4 linked regions of the Anolis sagrei genome follow. The protein of the gene in region 1 purifies or fractionates together with the protein of each later gene. This does not show direct contact. Links are inferred from orthologs where the notes say so. Each region holds a gene or a part of one and is shown in the gene's direction. Other genes may lie near its edges.

Region 1 (7,680 bases):
AATATTTTATAAATCAAGTCAAATAAGAATGCAAGAATTGTATGCCATGGTATATAGTACCACTTGGATGCAACTGTACAAGATTTTTTAAAAATTCAATTGATCTTAATTCTCCTGTTGCCAGGTTAAACATACATAATTACAAAGTCATTTCACAAAAACCAGAATAGTAACAGTAGATATCCTGGAAACAGTTTTCCTAATATTGTAAGCGAATGCTGTGAAGCTGATACTTATTTCGATGTGAACACCACTGAAAATTGATAATTATTTTCTAAGTATATATGCATAGGATTGCACTCCATATCTTGTTCACAGTTAAGGTAAAGGTTTCCCTAGTCGTGTCTGACTCTGGAAGGTGGTGCTTATCTCCATTTCTACGCCAAAGAGCTGGCATTTTCCGTAGACGCCTCCAAAGTCAGGTGGCCAGCATGACTACATGGAGTGCTGTTATCTTCCCTCCATAGCAGTACCTACTGATCTACTCACATTTGCATGTTTTCGAACTGCTAGGTTGGCAGAAGCTGAGGCTAACAGCAGGAGCTCATCCCACTCCCTAGATTCAAACTGCTGAGCTTTCAGTCAGCAAGTTCAGAATCTCAGCAGTTTAACCCGTTGTGCCACAGGGAGCTCCGATCTTGTTCATGCACATCTAATATAAGCTCACAGGACTATATTCAAATTTAATTTATTTAAAAGTGTCCAATGAAATCAATAGGTTAAGTTATAGTAGTCATGAGTACAATACATTCCACAGAAAATACATTTCTGGCCTCTTAAGCTGAAGTCCAAAACACCTGGAGGGCCATAGTTTGCCCATCCCTGCTATAAACTCTACTTTTTTTTTTGTCGTGTCAGGAACAACTTGAGAAACTGTAAGTTGTTTCTGGTGTGAGAGAATTGGCCGTCTGCAAGGATGTTGCCCAGGGGACGCCTGGATGATTTGATGTTTTTATCATCCTTGTGGGAGGCTTTTCTTATGTCCCCGCATGAGAAGCTGGAGCTGATAGAGGGAGCTCATCCGCCTCTCCCCGGATTTGAACCTGCGACCTATTGGTCTTCAGTCCTGCCGGCACAGGGGTTTAACCCACTGCACCACCGGGGGCTCTATGAACTCTACTGATTTGATACTAATGTTGAGATACTTCAACAAAAAGCAACTAAAGACAAATGTAATGTGACAAGAGTTTTCCTGTATTATAAGAATAGCCTTGAGAATACAGTACTGAACTATATATTTTGCTGGTTGCTTGAGAGTTACAGTAGCTTGGGTTCCATTTTACAGAGAGCCTATTGTGTCTTCTTTCTTGGTTGCCCTGGCCTCAACTTGGACTAAACTGCTAACTACCTATGAACTGGTTGGATAAGACTGCCACCTAGTGTCTGAAGATTGTATTGTGGGCTTCACACACACACACACACACACAAACTAATATATCAACCAGCAACAGATCCCTTTTTGTCAACATGGTAGTCATTTAAAATTTGCACAATACATATTATTAGCATAGCACAATATCAGTATTATAGATTACAATATTGTACTATACCATTAGACTGTAATATTATTAATAATATTAATACATATATATATATGTAATTAATATATATGCATATATTAATATATAATAAACACGCATATATATATTATTAATAATATTACATATAATATAAAATATCTATATAAATAAAAATGTAATGTTTGTTTGTGGGATTAACAGAACTCAAAAACCACTGGGCAAATTTACACCAAATTTGGACACAAGACACCTATCAGGCCAACGAGTGTCCATTAGTCATTAAAACATGGAAAAAACACAGCGGAGGGACTTAAAAAGTAAAAAAACCCACCCCAAAATACATTACAACTCATGCACAAAACCACACGCATATATACACAAACACACATAGATACACATATATGCATATACACACACAAAATACATACACAGAAAAGGGGGAAGGAAGGAAGGAAGGAGAGGAGGGAGAGAAGGAAGGAAAGAAAGAAGGGTAGAGAAGGAGAGAGAAAGAGGGAAAGAAGGAGGGAAGGAGAGAAGGAAAGAAGGGTAGAGAATGAAGGAAGGAGAGAAGGAGGGAAAGAAGGAGAGAAGGAAAGAAAGAAAGGTAGAGAAGGAAGGAGAGAAGGAGACAAAGAAGGAAAGAAAGAAGGGTAGAGAAGGAAGGAAGGAGAGAAGGAGAGAGAGAAGGAGGGAGAGAAAGAGGGAAAGAAGGAGGGGAGAAGGAAAGAAAGAAAGGTAGAGAAGGAAGGAGAGAAGGAAATAAAAAAGTGAAAGGGAAGGAAGGAGAGAATGAACGAAAGAGAGAGAGAAGGAGGGAAGGAAGGAAAGAAACAAGGAAGGATGGAACTAAAGAGCAAAGGAAGCGAGAAAAGAAACAGATAAAGAAGGAAGAAAGAAGGAAAAGAAAAAGCGGGAAGGAAGGAAAAACGGAGGGAAGGAGAGAAATAAAGAAGGAGAGAAAGAGGGAGGGAAGGTTGGCCACAGCAACGCGTGGCGGGTACAGCTAGTATAATTATAATATCATATTATTATTAGTAGTATTATTATATTGGATTACATTATAATATTATAAATATTACATGTATATTATATATATATATATATATATATATATATATATATATATATATATATATATAATATGAGATCACGAAGAGTCGGAAACAACTCTGAATGACTGTCAGGGAGGGATCCCATGTTATGATTATTGATAGCATCCCTCTTTGATGTCTGAAATTCCACTCGCCTTGTTTGCCAATACACTATAAGCCAGTGGTTCTCAACCTTCCTAATGTTGCGACCCCTTAATAGAGTTCCTCAATTTGTGGTGACCCCAACTATACAATTCTTTTATTTGCTACTTCATAACAGTAATTTTCTGCGGTAATAAATTGTAATGTCAATATCTGATATGTAGGATATATTTTTATTCACTGGACCAAATTTGGCACAAATACCTGATGCACCCCAAAACAATATTGGTGGGGTTAGGGGGAATTGATTTGGTCATTGGGGAGTTGTAGTTGCTGGGTTACTTGCAATCAAAGAGCATTTTGAAATTCACCAACGGTGAAACTGAACCAAACTTGGTACACAAACTCCCATGACCAACAGAAAATACTGGAAGGGTTTTGAAGTTGTAGTTCAACTGTATGGAGAGAGTAAACAATGATGGATCTGGACCAAACTTGGCATGAATATACCCAAATGTGAATACTGGTGGAGTTTGAGGAAAATATACGTTGACATTTGGGAGTTGTAGTTGGGGGAAGTTTGACCCAATTCTATCCTTGGTGGGGTTCAGAATGCTCTTTGATTGTAGGTGAACTATAAATCCCAGCAACTACATCAACAATAGAAAACTCCCATCAACAATAGAAAATACTGCGTTTTCTGCTGGTCTTTGGCAACCCCTCTGACACCCCCTCGCGACCCCCAGGTTGAGAAACGCTACTGTAAGCAATCACAGTTATACAAAAAATCAGGAGATCTTCGAAAGCTTGCCATGATGCATTTTGAGCATTTTTGTACACGTTTGAAATTTAGCAAACCCGGATTATTTCTGAATTTGACAGCTGGAAACGTTTGTCCAGATTGGAAGGAAAGGCAAGGCTTTAAACCTGTCCTCTCCTTTCACAAAGGGTGTTAAACCTGAGGGGGGAAACGCCCACCTTCTCCCATCCTGGGCTGTGTGTGCCCCCTTCCCTCCCTCGAGACTACAATTCCCAGCATGCCCTGGCCCCCCGCCGACCGCAGAATTCGGGGAGCGGGCTCGCGCGCTGCATCCTGGGAGTCGTAGTCCTCTGCTTCCCCCTTCACTGTGGCGACGTCGAATAGGTCTCGAATTCCCTTTCTTTTCCACTTTGACTTAAGCACCTCTCTCTCTTCTCACTATCCCCGCCTTGTCTTTCCGACCTGTCAATCTTCCCTCCTGACAGGGATTCAAATGTCTTGTGTTCCCTTTTTTTTTTTGTCGTGTCAGGAGCGACTTGAGAAACTGCTTCTGGTGTGAGAGAATTGGCCGTCTGCAAGGACGTTACCCAAGGGACGCCCGGATGATTTGATGTTTTTAATCATCCTTGTGGGAGGCTTCTCTCATGTCCCCACATGGCGAGTTAGAGCTGACAGACGGATTCAAGCCATATGAAGAGGTGGAGCCTCTCCCCGGATTCGAACCTGCGACCTGTCGGTCTTGAGTTCGGCCAGCACAGGGGTTTAACCCACTGCGCCACCGGGGGCTCTTGTGTTCCCTGTACTTCCATCTCTCCCTTTCCTTCCTCCCTCCAGGACGCGCGTGACACGAAACAGCGGCGCGCGCTCTTCTCTCTCTCTCTCTCGCTCTACCCGGCTCGAGCGCATCTCTGGTGTTGTGAAAGAGAGAGTGAGAGAGAGAGAGAGGCGAGCTGTCAATGACGGTCTCGCGGCACTCAGGAAGGAACGCGCGCGCGCGCGCACGCCTGCGTGTGTCGAGAGCGGCGAAGACGACTCTCTCTCGCGGCGTCTCGCAGCCGCGCGCGCTCTCTCTCTCTCTCGCAAGACGGAGAAACGAAAATTTTTAGAACTTAAACCGGCCGCTTGCCCCTCCGTGCCATTGGAGAGAGATGACAAGCATTCTCATAGGCTGAGGCGGGCCCCTGAGAGCGCGCGCGCGCACACACGCCTGCTTGCCTTGACGAGAGCGCGCGTGCTCCTGTTACGCGTCTTCCGCCTCCTCCTCTCCGTCCCTCCCCTCCTTTTCCCCGACCGGAGCGCCCTCCTCCTCCTCCTCCTCCTCCTCCTCCCGCTCCCGGACTGAGGCGAACGTGTGAGCAGCAGCGATGGCGGCCGCGGGGGCTCTGGCCAAGCACGACCAGATCCTGGTGCTCGATCCGCCCACCGACCTCAAATTCAAAGGTACGCCGTGAGGGAGGTGAAGCCTCCTCTCGGGGGGGGGGGGAGGAGGGAGGGCCTCCTTCTCCCCGGGAGCTGTGAGGAAATCGAGGGCGGCTTCCCTCGGGGCCTGTAAAAGGAGGCTTGGGCCCGTCGCCACTGGGGAGGCTCCGAGCGGGGAAACGGGACGAGACGTCGCCATCTTGCTGACGCTTCCCTCCTCGCGGCCTCCTCCGCCTCCTCGGGCCCAGGCTCCCGGTCAGCCAGCCAGCCAGCCAGTCGGGGGCTGGGGAGGCCTGCCTCGCTTTCCCTTCCCTTCCGCATGGCGTCGTCGCTGTCTCTTTCCGCCTGCCCTTCTCTCAGCTGAGAGCCGGACTGGCGCCTTGCCTCTCTCTCTCTCTCTCTCTCTCTCTGCAGGGATTACATGCATATGCCTTTTCCACCAGAGAGACAAAAATACATTCTCAGGGCCCTTCCACACAGCCCTATATCCCAGAATATCAAGGCAGAAAATCCCACAATATCTGCTTGGAACTGAGTTATCTGAGTCCACACTCAGATAATGTAGGATTTTCTGCCTTGATATTCTGGGATATAGGGCTGTGTGGAGGGGTCTTCATTCAGCCTCCCTTCACGGGCTTCCAGGGCCCCATCTACACTGCCATACAAAATCCAAATTCTCTTCTTTCAACTGGGTTATATGGCAGTGTGGGCTCATACTGTATAATCTAGTTCGAAGCAGATCCTGTGGATTGTCTGTTTCGATAATCTGGATTATAGGGCAGTGTAATTCAATTCAAAGCAGATAATGTGGATTATCTGCTTCCGTAATCAGGATCGTATGGCAGTGTTGAAGGGGCCCAGAAGAGCCAACAAAAACACCTTTTCTTGTCGATATTTTCCCATCCATATCGCCGTCATTTCCAAAGTAGAATCATTGAGTTGGCCATCCAGTCTAACCCCCTGTCAAAAAGCAGGAAAAGCCATTCAGAGCACCCTCTGCCACTCAGGGCCCCTCCACACAGCCCCATATCCCAGAATATCAAAGCAGAAAATCCCACATTATCTGAGGGTATACTCAGATAACCCAGTTAAAAGCAGATACTGTGGGATTTTCTGCCTTGATATTCTGGGGTATAGGGCTATGTGGAAGGCCCCTCACATACCACTCAGGGCCCTTCCACACAGCCCATTGAGATTCTGATCGAGCATGGTGGAAAAGAATATCACATCCATTGCAATGCTGACGGTTCTGAGGGCCCTTCCACAAAGCCCTATATCCCAGAATATCAAAGCAGAAAATCCCACATTATCTGATAACCCAGTTCAAAGCAGATATTGTGGGATTTTCTTCCTTGATATTCTGTGATATTAGGGCTGTGTGGAAGGGCCCTGAGTCTGTTTCACCTCCCAAATCCCTTCTTCTGTGTCGCAACTGTGACAGGCTCATATGAGACGGAGGCTTCCGGGAAGCTGCTTCCCTGCCTTTCCCTGTGTTGTGTGCGCCAGGCCCAAGATGCGGGTGGATGGATGGATAGATGGATGTTCTTGGCTTGTATAATAATAAGGCTGGGAGGAGGATCAGAGCCTCACACGCTTCCTCCTGTATTTTAGGCGTTGTCTTCCCCAATCCCCCACGACAGGCACCCACCCCCACATTACACACACGCCCCTGCCTCTTCCTGCTTTGAATGTTGCCCCTCCGGAGCCTACTCTCCTCCTCCTCCCATGCAGAGTCGTAGTGGTGGCATTTTGCACCAACGCCCTTTGATGTGTCATCCAGGAGCACAGCTAGGGGCGTTTTCTACACTAATTCTCCTGACATTTCAAGTGTTGTATTTTGTGAATACCACATTGAAATCTGTGTGTTGCATTCTACGTGAATTAAAAGGCAGTTCCCGTTGGTTCGAACCTCTTCTTGAGAGGTAATAATAATTCCCTGCCAAGTGCTGAGAAGTTTCCGTGAGCTGAATATTTGTTGCTTCAATCCTCAAGGCCCTTGCACACAGCCATATAACCCAGAATATCAAGGCAGAATAACCCACAAAATCTACTTTGAACTGGGTTATCTGAGGTATCTTCCTGACAGATCCTATATCCCAGGATCTGATCCTAGGTTTTCTGTTTATCCCAGATTATCTGGCAGTGGAGAGTCATATAATCCAGTTTAAAGCAGAAAGCCTTGGATCAGATCCTGAGTTATAGTGCCTGTCAGGAAGGGTCGTCAGTCAATACTGCCATATATCCCATGGTCCTTCCACACAGCCATATAACACAAAATATCAAGGCAGAAAATCCCACAATATCTGTTTTGAACTGGGTTATCTTGAGTCCACACTCCATATATCCCAGTTCAAAGCAGGAAATGTGAAATTTTATTCAGTTGTGTGGAAGGGGCTTCAGTTTATCTATAGTTGGGAAAAGCTGTTTATTATTATTATTATTATTGTTTACACAATGGGGTGTTTGGCAGGACAGTACTGAAAATTTTGAAATTGAAGTGGCATTTTGAATTTAGCCAGAGCTCTTGAAGGGTAGCTGTCATAATACAATGAAACATCCCTGTTACAAAATTGTACTTCAGCATTGACTAGCACAAGGTTCCATAAATGTTGAGAGAATAAATCTGGCCATTTTTGGCAGGAATTGTTGTTATTTACAGACCGGCTCAATTAGGTGTAGGGAGTGGTGTGAACTTGTAGCAGTTAGAAATACTATTACCCCTCTTGAGTTTTTTGAATAAATTAAACTACAACTTTGAGGGCAAAAATCAGAATAATTTCATTCTGAA
Region 2 (7,330 bases), on another chromosome or scaffold:
CATGATCTGATCACCATACTCAATATATCCCATATGCATGGGAGTATTGGGGTAATGATACAAAGGTTTGCTAGGATAGACCCTCTTTCACTCAGACTCATCCCCCCCCCGAAGCTCAGCCCCCCGACCCCCCCTGAAAAAAACTCAGCCCCCCCCCCCCCCGAATCGAAATCCTGGCTACGGGCCTGGGTCACAAGCATGGTTGGTGGGGACGAGAGAAAGAGCCTTCTCGGTGGTGCCCCCCTGCGTCTGGAACACCCTTCCTAGAGAAATAAGACAGGCCCCATCCCTCCCCTCCTTTCGTAAGAGCCTGAAGACCTGGTGGTTTAAACAAACCTTTGAGAACAACTATTATTTATTTATTTATTTGATGCATTTATTAACCGCCATTCTCAGCCCTTTAGGGCGACTCATGGCGGTGTACACACATATAAAGACAATTTACAAAGAGGCAATTACAACAACCTATAAACTACACAACTAGTTCTAGCTCAGACCAAGATACTGTTGAATATGGCCATATCTTTTTCCACCAATTAATTACCCAGGTTAATTCCTCCTCTTAGGCCCCAGAAATGAACAGCCCATAGACTCTACCTAATTTCCCAGGCCCTCTACAAATTGCCTTGAACAGGCAGGATTATTTTAAATATATATGTGCTATTGTGATTTTTTTTTATGCTTATACTGTCTTTTAAATTTTATGTTGTTTACTTTGCATGCATTGATGATGTTACTTGGAAACCAATCTGAGTCCCCTCGAGGAGATAGAGCTGTATATAAATAAAGTTTTGTTGTGGTGGTGGTCAACGTTCAACACAAAATGACCATAGAGTCATACTAGAAGAGCAAGAAATTCATAGAGAAAACACTTTAATCAAATCTGTGAGTTGCACCGGCCAACACACCTTTTGGTGCCTCAAATGGTAGCTCTGTTTTTGGATATATTTGACCTGCTGATTCCAAACACTCCGCCGGTTTTGCCTATTGGGTCTAGTTTTTTGAGATATGGAAGATATGCCATTTACTAGTTGCTGGTCCGTAAGAACTCATGATAACCATAGGAAACTAGAGCTGGTGGTCAATCCCAGGCCTAGGCAAACTTGGGTCTTCCCTCCACAGTGTTTTGGACTCCAACTCCCACCATTCCCAACAGCTTAAGCGGCTGAGGGGGGAAAGGAAGGGGCCTGAGGCTGTTAGGAATGGTGGGAGTTGGAGTCCAAAACACTGGAGGGAAGACCCAAGTTTGCCCAGGCCTGATATAGAACTACAACTCCCCAGATTTCACAGTGTAGATGCCCTCTTTGTTTCATTCCAGAAGAGACATTTAGTGTCATTGGTGGGAGGAAAATGTTGCCATTCTAAGTAGAGCAATTAAAGAGGTCATTAATGGCTGGCAAGCAACCAGGGATAATCCTCCTGGCAATCAATGTTTTGGTTTATTTACAGCCCTGTAGCTAGTGCTCAAGTATTCCTATTTTTGTTGCTATTTATAAGCGTATTTATTGGGGAGGGGGCGAGAGAGAGAGGGAGGGAGGGAGCTGGGGAGCGCTTACGCACGCATTTGTTCTCGAGGTTTCCTTCGCCCCGCAGCTGCTCCCATTGAGGCGCTTGATGTCACCAGCCCCTGACGTCACAGGCGTTTCCCGGGTAATGAGCTGTGATGTCACAGGAGGAGGGGAGCGCGCGCTCGCTCACCCGCCCGCCCGCTCTGCCTTCCTATCTGCAGGTTGCCGCAGTTCCTATGGAAACCTCATCCCGGTTTGCAAAAGAGAGAGCCGGGCTGCAGCGTTATAGCATCTGGAGCAGCCTCGAATCCAAACCGGGACAAAGGAGGCAGGGAGAGAAGGAGAACTCCCCCGGCGCGATGGTTGCGCGGTGCTTCCACCAAAGGTCTCGAAAATTGCTCAATGTCTCCCTTTTTTGGGGGAGGAATCTGAATAATAATAAACTTCACAACCTCTGAGGATGCTTGCCATAGATGCAGTCGAAACGTCAGGAGAAAATGCTTCTAGAACATGGCCATATAGCCCGAAAAACCTACAACAACCCACTAATTGCCTGCACACCTCGCCAAGGCCCCATTTACACTGACATTTAGTGCAGTTTCAGACCGGTATTGGAAGAAAGTGGCATGGCTGTGCAGATGATGACTACATAGGGAGGAACTCATGGAACCAGTTTGGAGTGACACCTCTCCAAAGCCCCATCTACATTGACCATTTAGTGCAGTTTCAGACTGGTATTGGAAGAAAGTGGCTTCGCTGTGCGGATGATTGACAACATAGGGAGGAACTCATGGAACCAGTTTGGAGTGATTGATTGCAAAAACCACTGAGACAGCATTAATTAAGGGCTTGCTTTTGTAGGGATCTGTTGCTTGAGGTGGATGCTAAATCATCACACTAGAGAATTAATCTACTTTAAATCCAGTTGCTGCCTCCTGAAGATTTCTGGGGTTTGTAGTTTAGGGAGGAACCTTAAACAACCTCCCTAAACTACAAACCCCAGAATTCTGCAGGAGGCAGAATTTAATGTGGGTTCATTCTCTAGTGTGATCTAGGGCTCTTCCACACAGCCATATAACCCAGAATACCAAGGCAGAAAATCCCACAATATCTGCTTTATAGTGGGTTATCTGAGTCCACACTGACTGACATATATTCCAGTTCAAAGCAGAAAATGTGGGATTTTATTCAGCTGTGTAGAAGGGGCTGAAGTGAATGGCCATCATTGGGCCCTTCCAGACAGGCCCTATATCCCAGGATCCGATCCTAGATTTTCTGCTTAAAACTGGATTGTATGAGTCCACATTGCCTGATAATCTGGGATAAACAGAAAACCTGGGATCAGATCCTGGGGGCCCTTCCACACAGACATCTATCCCAGAATATCAAGGTAGAAGATCCCACAGTATGTGCTTTGAATTGGGTTATTTTAGTCCACACTCAGATAATGTGGAATTTCCTGCCTTGATATTCTCGGATATAAGGCTGTGTGGAAAGGCCCTGGGATGTAGGGCCTGTCTGGAAGGACACGTAGATGGGGCTTCCATCCCCAAAACACCCGGTTGCAAGGTTGCATCTGGGGGCCCTTCTTTTGTTGTTCTTTTGTTCAGTTGTTTCTGACTCTTTGTGAGCTCATCGACCAGCCCATGCCAGAGCTCCCTGTCGGCGGTCACCACCCCCAGCTCCTTCAAGGTCAATCCAGTCACTTCAAGGATGCCATCCATCCATCTTGCTCTTGGTCAGCCCTTCTTCCTTTTTCCTTCCATTTTCCCCAGCATCATTGTCTTCTCTAAGCTTTCCTTTCTTCTCATGATATAGCCAAAGTACTACACAGCCCTATATCTGAGAATATCAAGGCAGGAAATCCCACATTATGGACTCAGATAACCCAGTTCAGAGCAGATATTGTGGGATTTTCTGCCCTGATATTCTGGGATATAGGGCTGTGTGGAAGGGCCCTACATGATGGAATGAATGCAGCCTGGCTCCACTTGAACTGCTATGGCTCCATGCTCAGGAATCCTGGGAGTTGCAGTCTGGAGGGGGCATCAGCAGCAATTTTTGACAGAGAAGTCGAAAGACCTCGGGCCCTTCCACGCGGCCCAATATCCCTGAATATCAAAGCAGACAATTCCACAATATCTGCTTTGAACTGGGTTATCTGAGTTCACACTCAGATAATGTGGGGTTTTCTGCCTTGATATTCTGGGATATAGGGCTGTGTGGAAGGGTACCTTGTCAAACTTCAACTACCAGGATCCCTTCGCTTTGAGTCAATGCAATCATTCCACAATGTAGATCCACTCTGGGTCAGGCCTGGGCAAACTTGGCCCCTTCAGGTATTTTGGACTTCAACTCCCACCAATCCCAAGGGCCTGAAGCTGTTGGGAATGGTGGGAGCTGAAGTCCAAAACACCTGGAAGGCCCAATTTTCCCCAGCTCTGTTGAAGACCTTGTAAAACTACAACTCCCAGGATTCCACACCCGTAAGCAATGTCAACCCGCCTTCCTCATGCATGCCACAGGGTAGAAAGGAGATGCGCCCAGAGATTCTTCCTTTGCCTTCCCCCCTCCCTTTCCTGAACCCCGTTTCCTCCTCCCTCCCTCCTCCTCCTCCTCCTCTTCCCTCCTCCTCTTGCAAGGAAGGCGAGACTGCGGCTGAGCGAGCGCGCGCGCTTCGGGGCTGCGGTGACGCGGAGGCAGCGGCCCTCCTCCTCCTCCCCCTCCCTCTCTGCATCCCCCTCCCTCTCTCTCTCCTCCCTCCCTCCCTCCCTTCCTGGGCCACCACCGTCCAGACCATGATCTTCTTGCCGCCTTCGGAGCGCGTCCCCGGCGGCGCCCCTCCAGCAGCCTACGGAGGAGGAAGAGGAGGAGGAGGAGGAGGCAGCAGCGGCAAGGCAGGCGCCTCGGGAGGGAGGACCTAGGCGCAGCCAGCCAGCCAGCGTCCCAAGCCCGCTGCCTGCCTGCTTTCCTTCCTTCCTTCCTTCCTCCGGAGCATTTCCCACCGCCGAGCCACAGGTCTGGACGCAGATGGGGGAAAAGGGGGCCAGGGAGGAGGAGGAGGAGGAAGAGGAGGAAGGCGGGAAGTGGTGGGCGTGCAAGAGAGAGAGAGAGGGGGGATTCACATGGCAACGGGGGCTTGGGAGGTCGGTGTCGCTTCATAGCCGTGCCTCAGTATCTGAAAGGATGCATCGGGGGCAAGCTTGTTTACTGCTGCTCTGGATTGCCATGCCTTCCAATGACAGGAAAAGGGATTCCACCAAAAACATCAGGAAGAACTCCCCTATATGTTAAACCTCCTATTAGGTTTATAAGCAGAGGCTGGGTGGCCATCTGTCGGGAGTGCTTTGATTGTCTATTTCTGAATGACAGAAAGGGTTGGGCTGCATGGCCCCTTGGGGTCTCTTCTGACTCCAGGATACTATGTATGATGGTCACCTGTCAAGGGTGCTTGGATTCTGGAAATTCATAAGCAGAGGCTGGATGGCTGTCTGTCAGGAATGCTTTGATTATGTATTTCTGCATGACAGAGTAGGGTTGGATTGCATGGTTCCTTGGGATCTCTTCTGACTCCAGGTATCATGGTTATCTATCAGGGCTGCTTTGATTCTGGAAATTCATAAACAGAGACTGGATGTCTGTCTGTCAGGAGTGCTTTGATTGTGTATTTATGCAAGGCACAGTAGGGTTGGATTGCATGGTCCCTTGGGGTCTCTTCTGACTCCAGGTATCAGGGCCATCTATCAGGGGTGCTTTGATTCTGGAAATTCATAAGCAGAGGCTGGATGGCCATCTGTCAGGAGTACTTTGATTGTGTATTTTCTGCAAGGCAGAGTAGGGTTGGATTGCATGGTCCCTTGGGGTCTCTTCTGACTCCAGGTATCATGGTCACCTGTCAGGGGTGCTTTGATTCTTATAAGCAGAGGCTGGGTGCCCATGAAATGCTTTGATTGTGTATTTCTGCATGGCAGAGTAGGGTTTGGTTGCCTGGCCCTTCCGACTCCAAGATTCTATGCATGATGGTCACCTGTCCAGGAATGCTTTTATTCTGGAAATTCATAAGCAGAGACTGGATGGCCATCTGTCGGGAGTGCTTTGATTGTGTACTCCTGCATGAGTTAATGCATTCAGACAGGGTAGGGTTGGGCTAGTTGGTCCTTGGGGTCTCTTCCAACTCTAGGATTCTATGTATAATGTTGACCTGTCCAGGAGTGCTTTGATTCTGGAGATTTTCAAGCGGATCCTGGATGGCTATCTGTTGGGAGTGCTACATGACAGAAGGGAGTTGGGTTTGATGGTCCTCAGGGTCTCTTCCAGCAGTGGAATTCTATGTTATGAGCACAGCACATGGAAGATTTCTGAATGACATGTAGATTTCTGGTTGTGTTTTCCTGCAAGAGTTTTGGACTGGATCATGGTCCTTGTGGGTTGAATGCAATTTTCCTGCTTCTTGGCAGGGGGTTGGACTGGATGGCCCACGAGGTCTCTTCCAACTCTGTGATTCTCTGATTCTAGATCAAGGAAGGTAATGCAGTGGGGAAGAGGTGGGCGGGGGCCCAAGGAAGTGTAACACACCTACAGACATGCACATCCATGCCTTTTGTGGTTTTTGTGTTCTTGCTGTAGAAATTCCTGAGAAATAGCTCTGGGTGGCAGTGAGCTATTGTGCGTCTACACTGTAAAATGAAGACAGTTTGGTACCACTTGACCTGCCATGGCTCAACCCTTATAGAAACCCGTAAGTTTGGCATTCATTCTACAGTGTAGATGCACTCAAGAATAAATAGGCAAGAAATTTATTATTGTTATTATTATTATTATTATTATTATTATTATTATTATTATTATTGTGTTGCCGAAGGCTTTCATGGCCGGAATCACTGGGCTGCTGTGAGTTTTCTGGGTTGTATGACCATGTTCCAGAAGCATCATCATCATCATCGTTGTTGTTATTGTTATTTTACTGACAGAGAAACACAGTATGTCACAGCAAATGAGATATATATGCTTTATTTCGTATCACACAATCACAAGTCGAACACTTCCCAAGTGTCTAGGACTGGGTGATGTATTTTCAAATGTATTGTCGAAGGCTTTCGCGGCTGGAATCACTGGGTTGTTGTATCTATGGCAAGCATCTGAGGATGCCTGCCATAGATGCAGGTGAAACGTCAGAATATGGCCTCTAGAACATGGCCATATAGCCCAAAAAAACCCCTACAATAACCCAGTATTTTCGAATGATGCACGCAGATCCAAGTAAGGTGGCCTTTTGCAGTTGACAGATCATGATTTTGTCAATAATAATAATAATGTGGGCTAGGACACCTCTCCTTCCTCTCACTGTTTGAATCCAGAGTGGGATCTCTTGGTGGTCTCCCAAACTCATCTCCTTTCTCGAATGCCTTGGTTCTCCATTTCCATGAAGCAGGGAGTTTCTCACCTAAAGAAAAACATGTGGCTGCCAGCACATTCAGAGGATGACTGCTTTTTCTTTCTCTTTCTTTCTCTTGCTGTGATTTCCTTCCTCATACTTTGGGGCAGGCTGACATTAGACAGGGTTTGTCACCTGGAAGCCTGGCCTTAGCTGAACCTCACAGGCCTGTTGTGTTGTTATACTCACCATTAAAAACACAGGAGCCCAGCCAAGGGTGAGGAGGGGCCATTATTTTGGATGTACTAGCTTGCTGGTTCTTCTAGCGATGCATTTTCTACCCACTGTGCAAGAATTTTTGAGGACTGATAGAATATAGAGATTTTTAGAAGTGGCTTGGGCCAGGTTACCACGTTTCTTCCCCCCGCCATCTTGGCTGGGTTTCACT
Region 3 (7,399 bases), on another chromosome or scaffold:
ACCCACCACGACACACGTTGCTGTGGCCAACCTTCCCTCGCTCTTTCTCTCCTTCTTTCCCTTCTTTCTTCGCTCTCTCTTTCCTTCCCTTTTCTTCTTTCCTTCTCTCCTTCCTTCCTCCTCTATCTCTTTCCTTCCCCCTTTTTCTTTTCCTTCCCTTTCTCTCCTTGCTTCCTTCTCTACCTCTTTTTTTCCTTCCTTCACTTTTTGCTTCCATCCTTCCGTCTTTCCTTCCCTCTTTCTCTCCTTCTTTTCCTTCTTTCTTCACTCTCTTTCCTTCCCTTTTCTTCTTTCCTTCTCTCCTTCCTTCCTCCTCTATCTCTTTCCTTCCCCCTTTTTCTTTTCCTTCCCTTTCTCTCCTTGCTTCCTTCTCTACCTCTTTTTTTCCTTCCTTCACTTTTTGCTTCCATCCTTCCGTCTTTCCTTCCCTCTTTCTCTCCTTCTTTTCCTTCTTTCTTCACTCTCTTTCCTTCCCTTTTCTTCTTTCCTTCTCTCCTTCCTTCCTCCTCTATCTCTTTCCTTCCCCCTTTTTCTTTTCCTTCCCTTTCTCTCCTTGCTTCCTTCTCTACCTCTTTTTTTCCTTCCTTCACTTTTTGCTTCCATCCTTCCGTCTTTCCTTCCCTCTTTCTCTCCTTCTTTTCCTTCTTTCTTCACTCTCTTTCCTTCCCTTTTCTTCTTTCCTTCTCTCCTTCCTTCCTCCTCTATCTCTTTCCTTCCCCCTTTTTCTTTTCCTTCCCTTTCTCTCCTTGCTTCCTTCTCTACCTCTTTTTTTCCTTCCTTCACTTTTTGCTTCCATCCTTCCATCTTTCCTTCCCTCTTTCTCTCCTTCTTTTCCTTCTTTCTTCACTCTCTTTCCTTCCCTTTTCTTCTTTCCTTCTCTCCTTCCTTCCTCTATCTCTTTCCTTCCCCCTTTTTCTTTTCCTTCCCTTTCTCTCCTTGCTTCCTTCTCTACCTCTTTTTTTCCTTTCTTCGCTTTTTGCTTCCATCCTTCCTTCTGTCTTTCCTTCCCTCCCTCTTTCTCTCCTTTCTCTCCTTTCTTCGCTCTCTCTTTCCTCCCCTTTTCTTCTTTCCTTCTCTCCTTCCTTCTCTATCTCTTTCCTTCCTTCCTTCCTTCCTTCCTTCACTTTTTGCTTCCATCCTGTCTTTCCTTCTTTCCTTCCCTCCCTCCCTCTTTCTCTCCTTTCTTTTCTTTCTTCGCTCTCTTTCCTCCCCTTTTCTTCTTTCCTTCTCTCCTTCCTTCCTTCTCTACCTCTTTCCTTCCCCCTTTTTCTTTTCCTTCCCTTTCTCTCCTTGCTTCCTTCTCTATCTCTTTTCTTCCTTCCTTCGCTTTTTGCTTCCATCCTTCCATCTTTCCTTCCCTCCCTCTCTTCTTCTTTCCCTTCTTTCTTCGCTCTCTCTTTCCTTCCTTTTTCTTCTTTCCTTCTCTCCTTCCTTCCTCCTCTATCTCTTTCCTTCCCCCTTTTTTCTTTTCCTTCCCTTTCTCTCCTTGCTTCTCTACCTGTTTCCTTCCTTCCTTCGCTTTTTGCTTCCATCCTTCCTTCTGTCTTTCCTTCTTCCCTCCCTCTTTCTCTCCTTGCTTCTCTACCTCTTTCCTTCCTTCCTTTGCTTTTTGCTTCCAGACCCAGACCTTGTGAAACTACAACTCCCATGACTCCATAGTTGTTATAGTGGTGTCTTTTAATGTAGATAATCTCCCAATGTTTGCATGGCTCCATGCTATGGGAGCTGTAGTTTGTCGAGGCTCGAGCAATAATTAGCAAAGAAGAGACCCCCTAGACCTTGTCAAACTACAACTCCCAGGATTTCATAGCAATTGCTGTGGCGTGTAGATATACCCTATATTTGCATGGCTCAGTGCTATGGAATCCTGGGAGCTATAGTGGTGGCAAAGAAGACTCCAGTCCATGTGAAACTACAACTCCCAGGATGCCAGAGAAGTTACAGTGATATCCTTCAATGTAGATAAACTCCCAATAGTTGCATGGCTCCATGCTATGGGAGTTGTAGTTTGTCGAGGCTCCAACACTAATTAGCAAAGAAGACCTGCCTAGACCTTGTCAAACTACAACTCCCAGGATTTCATAGCAGTTGCGGCAGTGTGTAGAGACACCCTATATTTGCATGGCTCAGTGCTATGGAATCCTGGGAGCTATAGTGGTGGCAAAGAAGACTCCAGACCTTGTGAAACTACAACTCCCATAGTTGTTATAGTGGTGTCTTTCAATGTAAATAAACTCCAAATGCTTGCATGGCTCCATGCTATGGGAGCTGTAGTTTGTCGAGGCTCCAGTACTTATTAGCAAAGAAGACCCACCAGACCTTGTGAAACTGCAACTCCCAGGATGCCATAGAAGTTATAGTGATATCCTTCAATGTAGGTAGATTCCCAATGTTTGCATGGCTCCATGCTATGGGAGCTGTAGTTTGTCGAGGCTCCAGCACTAATTAGCAAAGAAGACCCACCATACCATGTCAAACTACAACTCCCAGGATTTCATAGCAGTCGTGGTGGTGTGTAGAGACACCCTATATTTGCATGGCTCAGTGCTATGTTTGCAAAGAAGACTCCAGACCTTGTGAAACTACAACTCCCAGGATGCTAGAGAAGTTACAGTGGTATCCTTCAATGTAGATAAGATTCCCAATATTTCCATGGCTCCATGCTATGGGAGCTGTAGTTTGTCGAGGCTCGGGCACTAATTAGCAAAGACCCCCCCAGACCTTGTGAAACGACAACTCCCAGGATTTCATAGCAGTTGCGGTGGTCTGTAGATATACCCTATATTTGCATGGCTCAGTGCTATGGAATCCTGGGAGCTATAGTGTTTGCAAGGAGGACCCACCAGACCTTGTGAAACTACAACTCCCAGGATTTCATAGCAGTTGCGGTGGTGTGTAGATACACCCTATATTTGCATGGCTCAGTGCTATGGAATCCTGGGAGCTATAGTGTTTGCAAGGAGGACCCACCAGACCTTGTGAAACTACAACTCCCAGGATTTCATAGAAGTCACTGTGGTGTGTAGATACACCCTATATTTGCATGGCTCAGTGCTATGGAATCCTGGGAGCTATAGTGTTTGCAAGGAGGACCCACCAGACCTTGTGAAACTACAACTCCCAGGATTTCATAGAAGTCACTGTGGTGTGTAGATACACCCTATATTTGCATGGCTCAGTGCAATGGAATCCTGGGAGCTATAGTGTTTGCAAGGAGGACCCACCAGACCTTGTGAAACTACAACTCCCAGGATTTCATAGAAGTTACTGTGGTGTGTAGATACACCCTATATTTGCATGGCTCAGTGCTATGGAATCCTGGGAGCTATAGTGTTTGCAAGGAGGACCCACCAGACCGTGTGAAACTACAACTCCCAGGATTTCATAGAAGTTACTGTGGTGTGTAGATACACCCTATATTTGCATGGCTCAGTGCTATGGAATCCTGGGAGCTATAGTGTTTGCAAGGAGGACCCACCAGACCTTGTGAAACTACAACTCCCAGGATTTCATAGCAGTTGCGGTGGTGTGTAGATACACCCTCTATTTGCATGGCTCAGTGCAATGGAATCCTGGGAGCTATAGTGTTTGCAAGGAGGACCCACCAGACCTTGTGAAACTACAACTCCCAGGATTTCATAGAAGTTACTGTGGTGTGTAGTTACACCCTATATTTGCATGGCTCAGTGCTATGGAATCCTGGGAGCTATAGTGTTTGCAAGGAGGACCCACCAGACCTTGTGAAACTACAACTCCCAGGATTTCATAGAAGTCACTGTGGTGTGTAGATACACCCTATATTTGCATGGCTCAGTGCTATGGAATCCTGGGAGCTATAGTGTTTGCAAGGAGGACCCACCAGACCTTGTGAAACTACAACTCCCAGGATTTCATAGAAGTTACTGTGGTGTGTAGATACACCCTATATTTGCATGGCTCAGTGCTATGGAATCCCGGGAGCTATAGTGTTTGCAAGGAGGACCCACCAGACCTTGTGAAACTACAACTCCCAGGATTTCATAGAAGTTACTGTGGTGTGTAGATACACCCTGTATTTGCATGGCTCAGTGCTATGGAATCCTGGGAGCTATAGTGTTTGCAAGGAGGACCCACCAGACCTTGTGAAACTACAACTCCCAGGACTCCATACCCCAGAGCCATGCAATTAGAAGGTGTATTTCCATTGAAGAATGGCAGTTCCAGTAGCGTGGAAGTCCATTCCTGCCAGGGTGTCAAATGCAGCCTGGGAGTGAGTCACGTGTCGGGGGGCCACCTCACGTCTGAAGGGGGCCCCTCCCTCCCGGCCAATCAGGGCCTGCCTTTCCTCTCTGCTCCGGGGCGGGAGGGGGGGGGAGCGTTTTGACGCAGCGGGCCCCGCCCCCGCTGCCTGGCTGCTTGCACGCGTTGGGCGACGTAACGTGTGAATGCGGGCTGGGCGGGCGAAAGGCGGGTTCGGAGGAGGCGGGACCGAGGCAGGCCGGCTCCTTGGGCATCCGTCAGAGGGTCCCTGCCTGTCTTGCCTTGCGAGGCGGAGTCAGAGGAGGAGGAGGAGGAGGAGGAGGAGGAAGGATGGCGCTGGGCTGAACCACATCCGCGCCGGATCCGCTCCATTTTGACGCCGTGTGGCCCCGATGGCGTTCAGCGCCTCCTGGCAGCTCCTCTCGCCGGTCCAGTGGGCCAAGTGGACCTGGTCCGCCGTCCGAGGAGGAGGGGGGGCCGCAGGGGGAGGGGGGTCCGGACCCGAGGAAGAGGAGGAAGAGGAAGAAGAAGAGGCTCAAGGAGAGACCCGCTCGCTCAGCCTCAGGCAAGTCCCGCGTCAGCGCGCTCACACGTGACGCGTGTACACTCGCGTGTCAGCCAAGGAGGGGGAGGAGAGGCGCGCTCACACGTGACGCGTGTACACTCGCGTGTCAGCCAAGGAGGAGGAGGAGAGTGCGCTCACACGTGACGCGTGCACACTCGCGTGTCAGCCAAGGAGGGGGAGGAGAGCACGCTCACACGTGACGCGTGTCAGCCAAGGAAGAGGAGGAGGGCGCGCTCACACGTGACTCATGCACACTCGCGTGTCAGCCAAGGAGGGGGAGGAGAGCACGCTCACACGTGACGCGTGTACACTCGCGTGTCAGCCAAGGAGGAGGAGGAGAGTGCGCTCACACGTGACGCGTGTACACTCGCGTGTCAGCCGAGGAGGAGGAGGAGAGCGCGCTCACACGTGACGCGTGCACACTCGCGTGTCAGCCAAGGAGGAGGAGGAGAGAGCGCTCACACATGACGCGTGTATACTCGCGTGTCAGCCAAGGGAGGGGGAGGAGAGAGCGCTCACACGTGACGTGTGTACACTCGCGTGTCAGTCATGGAGGGGGAGGAGAGCATGCTCACACGTGACACGTGTACACTCGCGTGTCAGCCAAGGAGGAGGAGGAGAGTGCGCTCACACGTGACGCGTGTACACTCACGTGTCAGCCAAGGAGGAGGAGGAGAGCGCACTCACACATGACGCGTGCACACTCACATGTCAGCCAAGGAGGGGGAGGAGAGCATGCTCACACGTGACACGTGTACACTCGCGTGTCAGCCAAGGAGGAGGAAGAGAGTGCGCTCACACGTGACGCGTGTACACTCACGTGTCAGCCAAGGAGGAGGAGGAGAGCGCGCTCACACGTGACGCGTGTACACTCGCGTGACAGCCAAGGAGGAGGAGGAGAGCGCGCTCACACGTGATGCGTGTACACTCACGTGTCAGCCAAGGAGGAGGAGGAGAGCACGCTCACACATGACACGTGTACACTCATATGTCAGACAAGGAGGAGGAGGACAGCGAGCTCACACATGACGCATGTACACTCGCGTGTCAGCCAAGGAGGAGGAGGAGGGCACGCTCACACATGACGTGTGTACACTTACGTGTCAGCTGAGGAGGGGGAGGAGAACGCGCTCACACGTGACACGTGTACACTCGCGTGTCAGCCAAGGAGGGGGAGGAGAGGCGCACTCACATGTGACACATGTACACTCGCGTGTCAGCCAAGGAGGAGGAGGAGAACGCGCTCATACGTGATGTGTGTACACTCGCGTGTCAGCCAAAGAGGAGGAGAGCGCGCTCACACGTGACGCGTGTACACTCGCGTGTCAGTCGAAGAGGAGGAACAACAACAACATCCTAATGGGTGTGCTCCAGCTTGCAAGCAGGCTCAAGGCGCATCCCTATACCGGAGAATGGATGGGCTCCTCTGGAATGCTATTTGGTCCTTGGGAGTTGTAGTTTAGTGAGAGGCTGGGTGCAGAAGGAATGCTCCTTTGGGGTCCCCCTTGGGTGCATCTCCATTGAGTTTTTCAGGAGAGATTGGGGGCATCTCCATAGGAGAATAAATGCAGCTAGACTCAACTTGCATTGCCCTGGCTCAGTACTATGTGAGTTGTAGTTTTTTGAGGAGGTATTGTGTGTGTCTTCAATGCTATATGAGCCTGACAGTTGTAGTTTTGGGAGGTATTGTGTGCATCTCCATTGGAGAATGAATTCAGTTTGATCCCCCTTTGAAATTACCCTGGCTCAATGCTATGGGAGTTGTAGTTTTGGGAGGTATTGTGTGTGTTCAATGCCATTTGATCCCAGAAGTTCTAGTTTGGGGAGGTATTGTGTGCATATCCATTGGAGAATCAATGCAGATCGACTCTACTTGAATTGTCTTGGCTCAATGCTGTGGGAGTTGTAGTTTGGGAGGTATTGTGTGTGTCTTCAATGCTATTTGAGCCTGACAGTTGTAGTTTTGGGGGGTATTGTGTGCATCTCCATTGGAGAATGAACTCAGTTTAATCCCCCTTTAAACTGCCCTGGGTCAGTGGTATGGGAGTTGTAGTTTTTTGGGAGGTATTGTGTGTCTCTTCAATGCTATTTGAGCCTGACAGTTGTAGTTTTGGGAGGTATTGTGTGCATCTCCTTTGGAGAATGAACTCAGTTTAATCCCCCTTTAAACTGCCCTGGCTCAATACTATGGGAGTTGTAGTTTTGGGAGGTATTTGTGCATCTGCATTGGAGAATGAATGCCGATCGACTACACTTGAATTATCCTGGTTCAATGCTATGGCAGTTGTAGTTTGGGGAAGTATTGTTTATATCTCTACTATAGAATGAATTCAGTTCAATGCTCCATTGAATAGCCTTGGCTCAATGCTATGGGATATGGGAGTTGTAGTTTAATGAGAAATTGAGTGCATCTCCATTGTAGAATGAATTATTATTATTATTATGTTTATTTATTATAATAATAATTCATTCTATAATGGAGATGCACACAATCACACATTAAACTACAACTCCCATAATCACATAGCATTAAGGCCTGCTGCTCCTGGGAGTTGTAGTTTAATGAGTTTGGGGAGGTATTGTGTGCAACTCCAT
Region 4 (7,942 bases), on another chromosome or scaffold:
CCTAGACCAGGCCCTTTAAGGGAGGAGGATGCTCCAAATGCACTGCTTCCCAGCTACAAGCTTGCTTCTCCTTGGATTTGAGAGCATCCCAATCCGTGCATATTTCCTATTCCTGGACTGCAACTCCCAGCAATCCTCCAGATAAATAAGATATATAGATTAGACAGAGATAGATAGTAGGTAGACAGATCAATCAGGAGGACCTCTGGGAGTTGCAGTCTAAGAATAGGTAGAGAAGGAAGAAAGAAGAAAAAGGGAGGGAAAGGAAGGAAAGAGGCAGAGAAGGAAGGAGAGAAGGAAAGAAAAAAGGGAAGGAAGGAAGGAAGGAGAGAAAGAAAAGAGAGAAAGAGGGAGGGAAGGTTGGCCACAGCACCGCGTGGCAGGTACGACTAGTATTATATTTATATGTAATGTTCACCTGAATGTTAGGAAGAACTCCCTGACCATATGAGCTGTTCAACAGTGGAACTCTCTGCCTCAGAGTGTGGTGGAAGCTCCTTCCTAGGAAAATTTTAAACAAAGGCTGGACGGCCATCTGTCAGGGATACTTTGATTGTGCTTTTCCTGCATGGCATGGGGTTGGACTAGATGGCCTTTGGGATCTCTTCCAACTCTATTATTCTATGATTATGTGTGAGTGAGTGAGTGTATGTGTGTGTGTATGCGCATATATCTATATATATATATAGTCCTAACTGTACCCGCCACACGTTGCTGTGACCAACCTTCTCTCCCTCTTTCTCTCTCTCTTTCTCTTCCTCCCTCTTTCCTTCCTTCTTTCCTCTTTTTTCTTTCTTTCTTTGTCTCCTTCTCTTCCTCTTCCCTTCCTTCCCCCTCAGCTTTTCTTTCCCTTCTTCTTTCTCCCTTTTCTTCCTTCTCTACCTATTATTGGACTGCAACTCCCAGTAGTCAAAGAATATCTATCTATCTATCTATCTATCTATCTATCTATCTATCTATCTATCTATCTATCTATCTATGTATCTATCTATCTATCTATCTATCTATCTATCTATCTATGTATCTATCTCTATCTCTAATCTATCTATCTGTCTGTCTGTCTTATCTGTCTGGAGGATTGCTGGGAGTTGCAGTCCAGGAATAGGAAAATTGGAAATATGTAGGAATTGGGATGCTCTCAAAGAAATCCAAGGAGAAGAAAGCTTGCATCTTGGAAGCAGTCCATTTGGATCATCCTCCTCTCCTCTCCTCTCCTGGTCTAGGGGATGCTGGGAGCTGTAGTCCAGAAGAGAGTGTGGATGTGCTATTGTGTGTTTTGTTTGAAAGGGGAGTTGTTTTGCGCATGCGCTGTAGCATCTTTTTGCATTTTTGGCTTTGAAAGTCTCCTCTGCTGTGTTTTTCAGTGTTTTTATGAGTCATGGTCGCTTGTTGGCCTGATAGGTATCTTGCGTCCAAATTTGGTGTCAATTCGTCCAGTGGTTTTTGAGTTATGCTAATCCCACAAACGAACATTACATTTTTATTTATATAGACTAACCTTCCCCTGCTACACGTTGTTGTGGTCCAGTCTGTGTATATGTGTGTTTGCATATATGTGTGTGCGTGTGTGGTTTTGTGTGTTATAATTTTGTTTTCTTGCTTATTAATTATGGTCTGCTGTGTTTTTCAGTATTTTATAAGTGACTAGCCATCCCCTGCCATGCATTGCTGTGGGCCAGTCTGTGTACATGTGTTTTGTGTGTGTATATATTTGTGTATATGTGTATATATATGTGTGTTTGCATATACGGTATATATGTGGTTTTGCACATGTGTTGTAATGTATTTTAATTGCTTTTTAAGTATCTTCTGCTGTGTTTTTCAGTGTTTTATGAGGGATGGTCACTCATTGGCTTGCTGGGTGTTTTGTGTCCAAATCTGGTGTCAATTCGTCAAGTGGTTTTTGAGTTATGTTAATCCCACAAACGAACATTACATGTTTATGTATATAGATAGAAGATATATGTGTGTATGCATATATGTGTGTGTGTGCATATATATATATATAATGTATGTATGGTCCTTTATTTATTTATTTATTTATTTATCGTGTCATCAGCAACCATACCGTTGTATTACAATTCTAACAGAATAAAACAAACACACAGATTAAAAAGAAAAAGAAGAAAAAAACACAGAGATTTTGCAAACTTGGTAGTTGGTTAAATGTCCTTTGACCAGTATCTGGCCACTTGGAGTGCCTCTGGTGTTGCCGCAAGAAGGTCCTCCATGGTGCATGTGGCAGGGCTCAGGTTGCATTGCAGCAGGTGGTCAGTGGTTTGCTCCTCTCCACACTCGCATGTTGAGGATTCCACTTTGTAGCCCCATTTCTTAAGGTTGGCTCTGCATCTCGTGGTGCCAGAGCGCAGTCTGTTCAGCGCCTTCCAAGTCGCCCAGTCCTCTGTGTGCCCAGGGGGGAGTCTCTCATTTGGTATCGGCCATTGATTGAGGCGCTGGGTTTGGGCCTGCCACTTTTGGACTCTTGCTTGCTTGGACTCTTGCTGCCACTTTTGGACTCTTGCTCTACAGAATGTCTCTGTAGATCTAAGAAAACTATGTCTTGATTTAAGTCGTTGGCGTGCTGGCTGATACCCAAACAGGGGATGAGCTGGAGATGTCACTGCCTTGGTCCTTTCACTATTGGCTGCTACTTCCCGGCGGATGTCAGGTGGTGCAATACTGGCTAAGCAGTGTAATTTCTCCAGTGGTGTAGGGCGCAGACACCCTGTGATAATGCGGCATGTCTCATTAAGAGCCACATCCACTGTTTTAGTGTGGTGAGATGTGTTCCACACTGGGCATGCGTACTCAGCAGCAGAGTAGCACAGCGCAAGGGCAGATGTCTTCACTGTGTCTGGTTGTGATGCCCAGGTTGTGCCAGTCAGCTTTCGTATGATGTTGTTTCTAGCGCCCCACTTTTTGCTTGATATTCAGGCAGTGCTTCTTGTAGGTCAGAGCATGGTCCAGAGCAGGGGTCCTCAAACTTTTTAAACAGAGGGCCAGGTCACAGTCTTTCAAACTGTAGGAGGGCCGGATTATAATTTGAAAAAAGCATGAATGAATTCCTATGCACACTGCACATATCTTATTGGTAGTGCAAAAAAACACTGAAAAAAAATACAATAATTAAAATGGGTTCAAGCTGGGTTTAGAAAAGGCAGAGGAACGAGAGACCAGATTGCCAATATCCGCTGGAGAATGGAGAAAGGCAGGGAGTTTCAGAAAAACATCTACTTCTGCTTCATTGACTATTCTAAAGCCTTTGACTGTGTGGATCATAATAAATTGTGGCAAGTTCTTAGTGGGATGGGCATCCCAAGCCACCTTGTCTCTCTCCTGAGGAATCTGTACAAGGACCAAGTAGCCACAGTCAGAACTGACCACGGAACAACAGACTGGTTCAAGATTGGGAAAGGCGTACCGCAAGGCTGCATACTCTCACCCAACCTTTTTAACGTGTATGCAGAACACATCATGCGATGTGCGGGGCTGGATGAATGCAAAGCTGGGGTGAAAATTGCTGGAAGAAACATTAACAACCTCAGATATGCAGATGACACCACTCTGATGGCCGAAAGCGAGGAGGAGCTGAGGAGCCTTCTAATCAAGGTGAAAGAAGAAAGCGCAAAAGCCGGGTTGCAGCTAAACGTCAAAAAAACCAAGATTATGGCAACAAGAATGATTGACAACTGGAAAATAGAGGGAGAAAATGTGGAGGCCATGACAGACTTTGTATTTCTAGGCGCAAATATTACGGCAGATGCAGACTGTGGCCAGGAAATCAGAAGACGCTTCCTTCTTGGGAGGAGAGCAATGTCCAGTCTCGATAAAATAGTGAAGAGTAGAGACATCAGACTGGCAACAAAGATCCGCCTAGTCAAAGCCATGGTCTTCCCTGTAGTCACCTACGGATGTGAGAGCTGGACCTTAGGGAAGGCTGAGCGAAGGAAGATCGATGCTTTTGAGCTGTGGTGTTGGAGGAAAGTGCTGAGAGTGCCTTGGACTGCGAGAAGATCCAACCAGTCCATCCTCCAGGAAATAAAGCCCGGCTGCTCACTGGAGGGAAGGAGACTAGAGACAAAGTTGAAGTACTTTGGCCACATCATGAGGAGACAGGAAAGCCTAGAGAAGACAATTATGCTGGGGAAAGTGGAAGGCAAAAGGAAGAGGGGCCGACCAAGGGCAAGATGGATGGATGGCATCCTTGAAGTGACTGGACTGACCTTGAGGGAGCTGGGGGTGGTAACGGCCGACAGGGAGCTCTGGCGTGGGCTGGTCCATGAGGTCACGAAGAGTTGGAGACGACTGAACGAATGAACAACAATTAAAATGAAGAACAATTTCACAAATACAAACTTATTAGTATTTCAATGGGAAGTGTGGGCCTGCTTTTGGCTGATGAGATAGGATTGTTGTTGTTGTTATTGTGTGCTTTCAAGCCATTTCAGACTTAGGTTGACCCTGAGCAAGGGCCGGGTAAATGACCTTGGAGGGCCACATCTGGCCCTCGGGTCTTAGTTTGAGGACCCCTGGTCCAGAGTGACTCCCAGGTATTTGGGTGTGCTGCAATGCTCCAGTGGGATTCCTTCCCAGGTCATCCTCAGAGCTTGAGATACTTGTCTGTTCTTATGGTGAAAAGCACAAATCTGTGTTTTAGATGGATTAGGGATCAGTTGGTTTTCCCTGTATGGTCCATGAGGTTACTAAAAAAATTGAAGGAAAGAACAACAACAACTAATATATGATCTACATGCACATGCATCTATGTATGTTTTTGCATGCATATAGGATTCCTTGGCTTCCACCTCTTACCCAGCGATTGGGAGCCGGAAGTGATGCGTGCGAGTGACTCTTCCCAACCCTCTTGGTGCTGTTGCTTTTTCCCCCCTCCTCCTTTTCTCGGGGCTCCGGTGGCCCCGCCCCGCCTTCCTTCCTTCCTTCCTCTCGCGAGATTTGGGGGCCAGGCCCGACCCGCTCTGCGCGGCTGCCGCTGCTGCTCCTTCTCCTCCTTCCTGGCTCCTTCCTTCCTCCCTTCCTTCCTCCTTCCTTCCCGGGGATGGCCTCCGACTCAGACCCCGAGGAGCTCTTCTACGACGCCGCCGAGGACGTCGCCCACCCTTCCCCGTGAGTTGGGCTCTTGGAGTTGTTTGTTTATTTATATTCCCGCTTAATCCGGATTGGGGGTGCCTTAATCCGGATTAAAGCTGGCTATCCACGACGGGGAGCGAACCCAACCCCCCACTCCCCCCAAATCTCATTCTCCGGCCCAGAGCTGCGTGGAAAAGACCTTAATCCGGATTATCTTTAATCCGGATTAGAGCTTTTAAAAAATATATATATAACAACTATTGACTCCCTCTTCATTGAGCCGCTGGATTCAGATTGGGGGGTGGGGGGAGCTCCAATCCAGATTAAGGGTAATCCGGATTAAACACCACCTCCATCTGGACAAACTGAACTAAGACTAATCCCGTTCAAACCAGATTGGAGCTTTTCTTTTTCTAAAGGAAACCCAAAAAACAACGTTGAGCCTGTAAATCCGGATTGGGGGGAACTCCAAATCCAGAATAAGACTAATCCGGATTAAACACCTCCATCTGGACAAAACTAAGACTAATCCGGATCAAACACCTCAATCCAGATTGCAGCTTTTCGTTTTCTAAAGTAAATACAGAAAACAACATTGAGCCACTAAATCCGAATTGGGGGGGGGGGCTCCAAATCTAGACGAAGGCTAATCCGGATTAAACACCTCCATCTGGACAAGCAAAACTAAGGCTAATCCCGTTCAAACACCTCAATCCAGATTGCAGCTTTTCGTTTTCTAAAGTAAATACATAAAACAACATTGAGCCAATAAATCCAAATGGGGGAGGAGCTCAAAATCCAGAATAAGGCTAATCCGGATTAAACACCTCCATCTGGACAAACAAAACTAAAGCTAATCCCGTTCAAACACCTCAATCCAGATTGGAGCTTTTTGTTTTCTAAAGTAAATACAAAAAACAACATTGAGCCACTAAATCTGGATTGGGGGGAAGCTCCAAATCCAGATTAAGGCTAATTCGGATTAAAGATCTCAATGTGGAATTTTTTTCTCTCTTTTAAACAAACAAAACAATTGTCTCTCATGTCATGGAGCCTCTGGATAGGAAAAGGGGAGGGAAAAAGTGCAATCCGGATTAAGGGTAATCCGGATTAAAGACCTCAATCCGGATTAAAACTTTCCTCCCCTCTTTTTAAACAAGCAAACAAACTATTGCCTCTCTTGCCATGTAGCCTCTGAATATGAATGGGGGGGGGTGCAATCCGGATTAAGGCTAATCCGGATTAAAGACCTCAATCCGGATTGGAACTTTCCTCCCCCCTTTTTAACAAGCAAACGAACTATTGCCTCTCTTCTCATGGATCCTCTGAAAGTGAATGGGGGGGGGGGAGGTGCAATTCGGATTAAGGCTAATCCGGATTAAAGACGTCAATACAGATTGCAGCTTTCTTTTTTTTAAATTGATTTTATTTGTGATTTTTGTAATACTTTCAACATTTAATTCAATTTAATAACAATTTGTTATTAAATTGTATTGTGTTTTGCTACATAGTGTAATAATTATGTCCTCTGAGGCTGGGAGAGTGTGACCAGCAGTAGTGTGTGTTTTTGTAGCTCAAGCTCATTTGTCTCATTCAGAAAGCAAACAAAGGCTGCCTGGAAGGCACTGTCAAAGCCCTCCCCACAGATGGCCATCCAACCTCAGTTCAGAGACCTCCAGAAAAGGAGACTCCACTGGACTCCCAGACAGATGATACACACATTTCCCACATTACAGACATCCGACTTGCATCCAACTCCTAGTTAAGAATGGGGCTGTGACGACAGGAAGTGAAAGGAATCTACTCCTCGGAAGGGAAATTCACTCCTGAAAGAATTATTATCCTGGGGGAAAGGAGTCTCCACTGAAGCCTTTTATCCCCAGTCCTTGTTTTCACAACAAACCACATTTCTCAAATTCTCACAGAGACAAATAGTGAGGTGGAATCTTTTGTACAGGGTCACAGACAGCAAAACAAACCCCATAGCGGTGTTCACTTTTCCCTATGCTGTACAACGCTTGTGTGTATGTGTTTATAGTGCATCTAGCTGACCCCTGCCATGTTTTGCTGTGGCCCAGTTTACTGATCTGGAAAATAAAGTAATGAGAAAGTGTTGGTTTCTAATATATGTAATTTCTTTATGTTTGTGGATAAACAGCATTTTTTGTTGTTTCTTTGTCACTGTTGGTGTGGAGATTGACTGGTTTGCCTACTCTGGAACATGCAAGATATACTTGTCCTTCTTTAGGGGTCCCTTTCAAATCTATGATACTATATCTGTGTGTGTGGATCATATCTTTCTATATCTATGGCTGGATGGCTCTTTGTCAGGAGGGCTTTGATTACGTTTTCTTGCCCTGATGAAGAGAGTTGGGCTGGATGGCCTTAAGTATTTTCTGTTGGTCATAGGGGTTCTGTGTGGGAAGTTTGCCCCAATTCTGTCATTCGTGGGGTTCAGAATAATTCTAATAATAATAATAATAATAATAATACTTTATTTATACCCCGCCACCATCTCTGCAAGGGACTCGGAGCGGCTTATATGAGGCCAAGCCCAACAACATATCAATAAAACAGGAAAGCAATAAACAGTACAATAAACAGTGCAATACAATACAATACAAATTAATAAACAATATAATACAATACAAATTAATATAAATCACATATAAACAACAACACACAAGAATGCTCTTTGATTTTAGGTGAATTATAAATCCCAGTAACTACAACTCCAAAATGTCAAGGTCTAGTTCTCCCAAATTCCATTTGTGTGCATATTTGGGCAGATGGAATATTTGTGACAAGTTTGGTCCAGATCCATGATTGTTTGAGTCCACAGTTCTCTCTGAAT

What was found.
Region 2: the proteins of VAPA (region 1) and PITPNM1 purify together in Homo sapiens (co-immunoprecipitation; 4 studies listed by BioGRID and IntAct, counting the BioPlex papers as one, with this or other methods). This does not show direct contact. The link is inferred for Anolis sagrei from reciprocal best matches to the Homo sapiens genes VAPA and PITPNM1.
Region 3: the proteins of VAPA (region 1) and TACC1 purify together in Homo sapiens (co-immunoprecipitation; 4 studies listed by BioGRID and IntAct, counting the BioPlex papers as one, with this or other methods). This does not show direct contact. The link is inferred for Anolis sagrei from reciprocal best matches to the Homo sapiens genes VAPA and TACC1.
Region 4: the proteins of VAPA (region 1) and WDR44 purify together in Homo sapiens (affinity purification with mass spectrometry; 3 studies listed by BioGRID and IntAct, counting the BioPlex papers as one, with this or other methods). This does not show direct contact. The link is inferred for Anolis sagrei from reciprocal best matches to the Homo sapiens genes VAPA and WDR44.

What each region holds. Positions count from the first base shown.
Region 1 is NC_090024.1:64,967,910-64,975,589, forward strand, and holds the start of VAPA (vesicle-associated membrane protein-associated protein A), read left to right. Parts: upstream 1-4,672; 5' UTR 4,673-4,837; coding exon 4,838-4,913; intron 4,914-7,680. UniProt on the Homo sapiens protein: Endoplasmic reticulum (ER)-anchored protein that mediates the formation of contact sites between the ER and endosomes via interaction with FFAT motif-containing proteins such as STARD3 or WDR44.
Region 2 is NC_090021.1:235,039,994-235,047,323, reverse strand, and holds the start of PITPNM1 (membrane-associated phosphatidylinositol transfer protein 1), read left to right. Parts: upstream 1-4,315; 5' UTR 4,316-4,526; intron 4,527-7,330. UniProt on the Homo sapiens protein: Catalyzes the transfer of phosphatidylinositol (PI) between membranes. Binds PI, phosphatidylcholine (PC) and phosphatidic acid (PA) with the binding affinity order of PI > PA > PC. Regulates RHOA activity, and plays a role in cytoskeleton remodeling.
Region 3 is NC_090027.1:2,516,263-2,523,661, forward strand, and holds the start of TACC1 (transforming acidic coiled-coil-containing protein 1), read left to right. Parts: upstream 1-4,398; 5' UTR 4,399-4,631; coding exon 4,632-4,804; intron 4,805-7,399. UniProt on the Homo sapiens protein: Involved in transcription regulation induced by nuclear receptors, including in T3 thyroid hormone and all-trans retinoic acid pathways. Might promote the nuclear localization of the receptors.
Region 4 is NC_090030.1:22,993,755-23,001,696, forward strand, and holds the start of WDR44 (WD repeat-containing protein 44), read left to right. Parts: upstream 1-4,931; 5' UTR 4,932-5,056; coding exon 5,057-5,124; intron 5,125-7,942. UniProt on the Homo sapiens protein: Downstream effector for Rab11 which regulates Rab11 intracellular membrane trafficking functions such as endocytic recycling, intracellular ciliogenesis and protein export.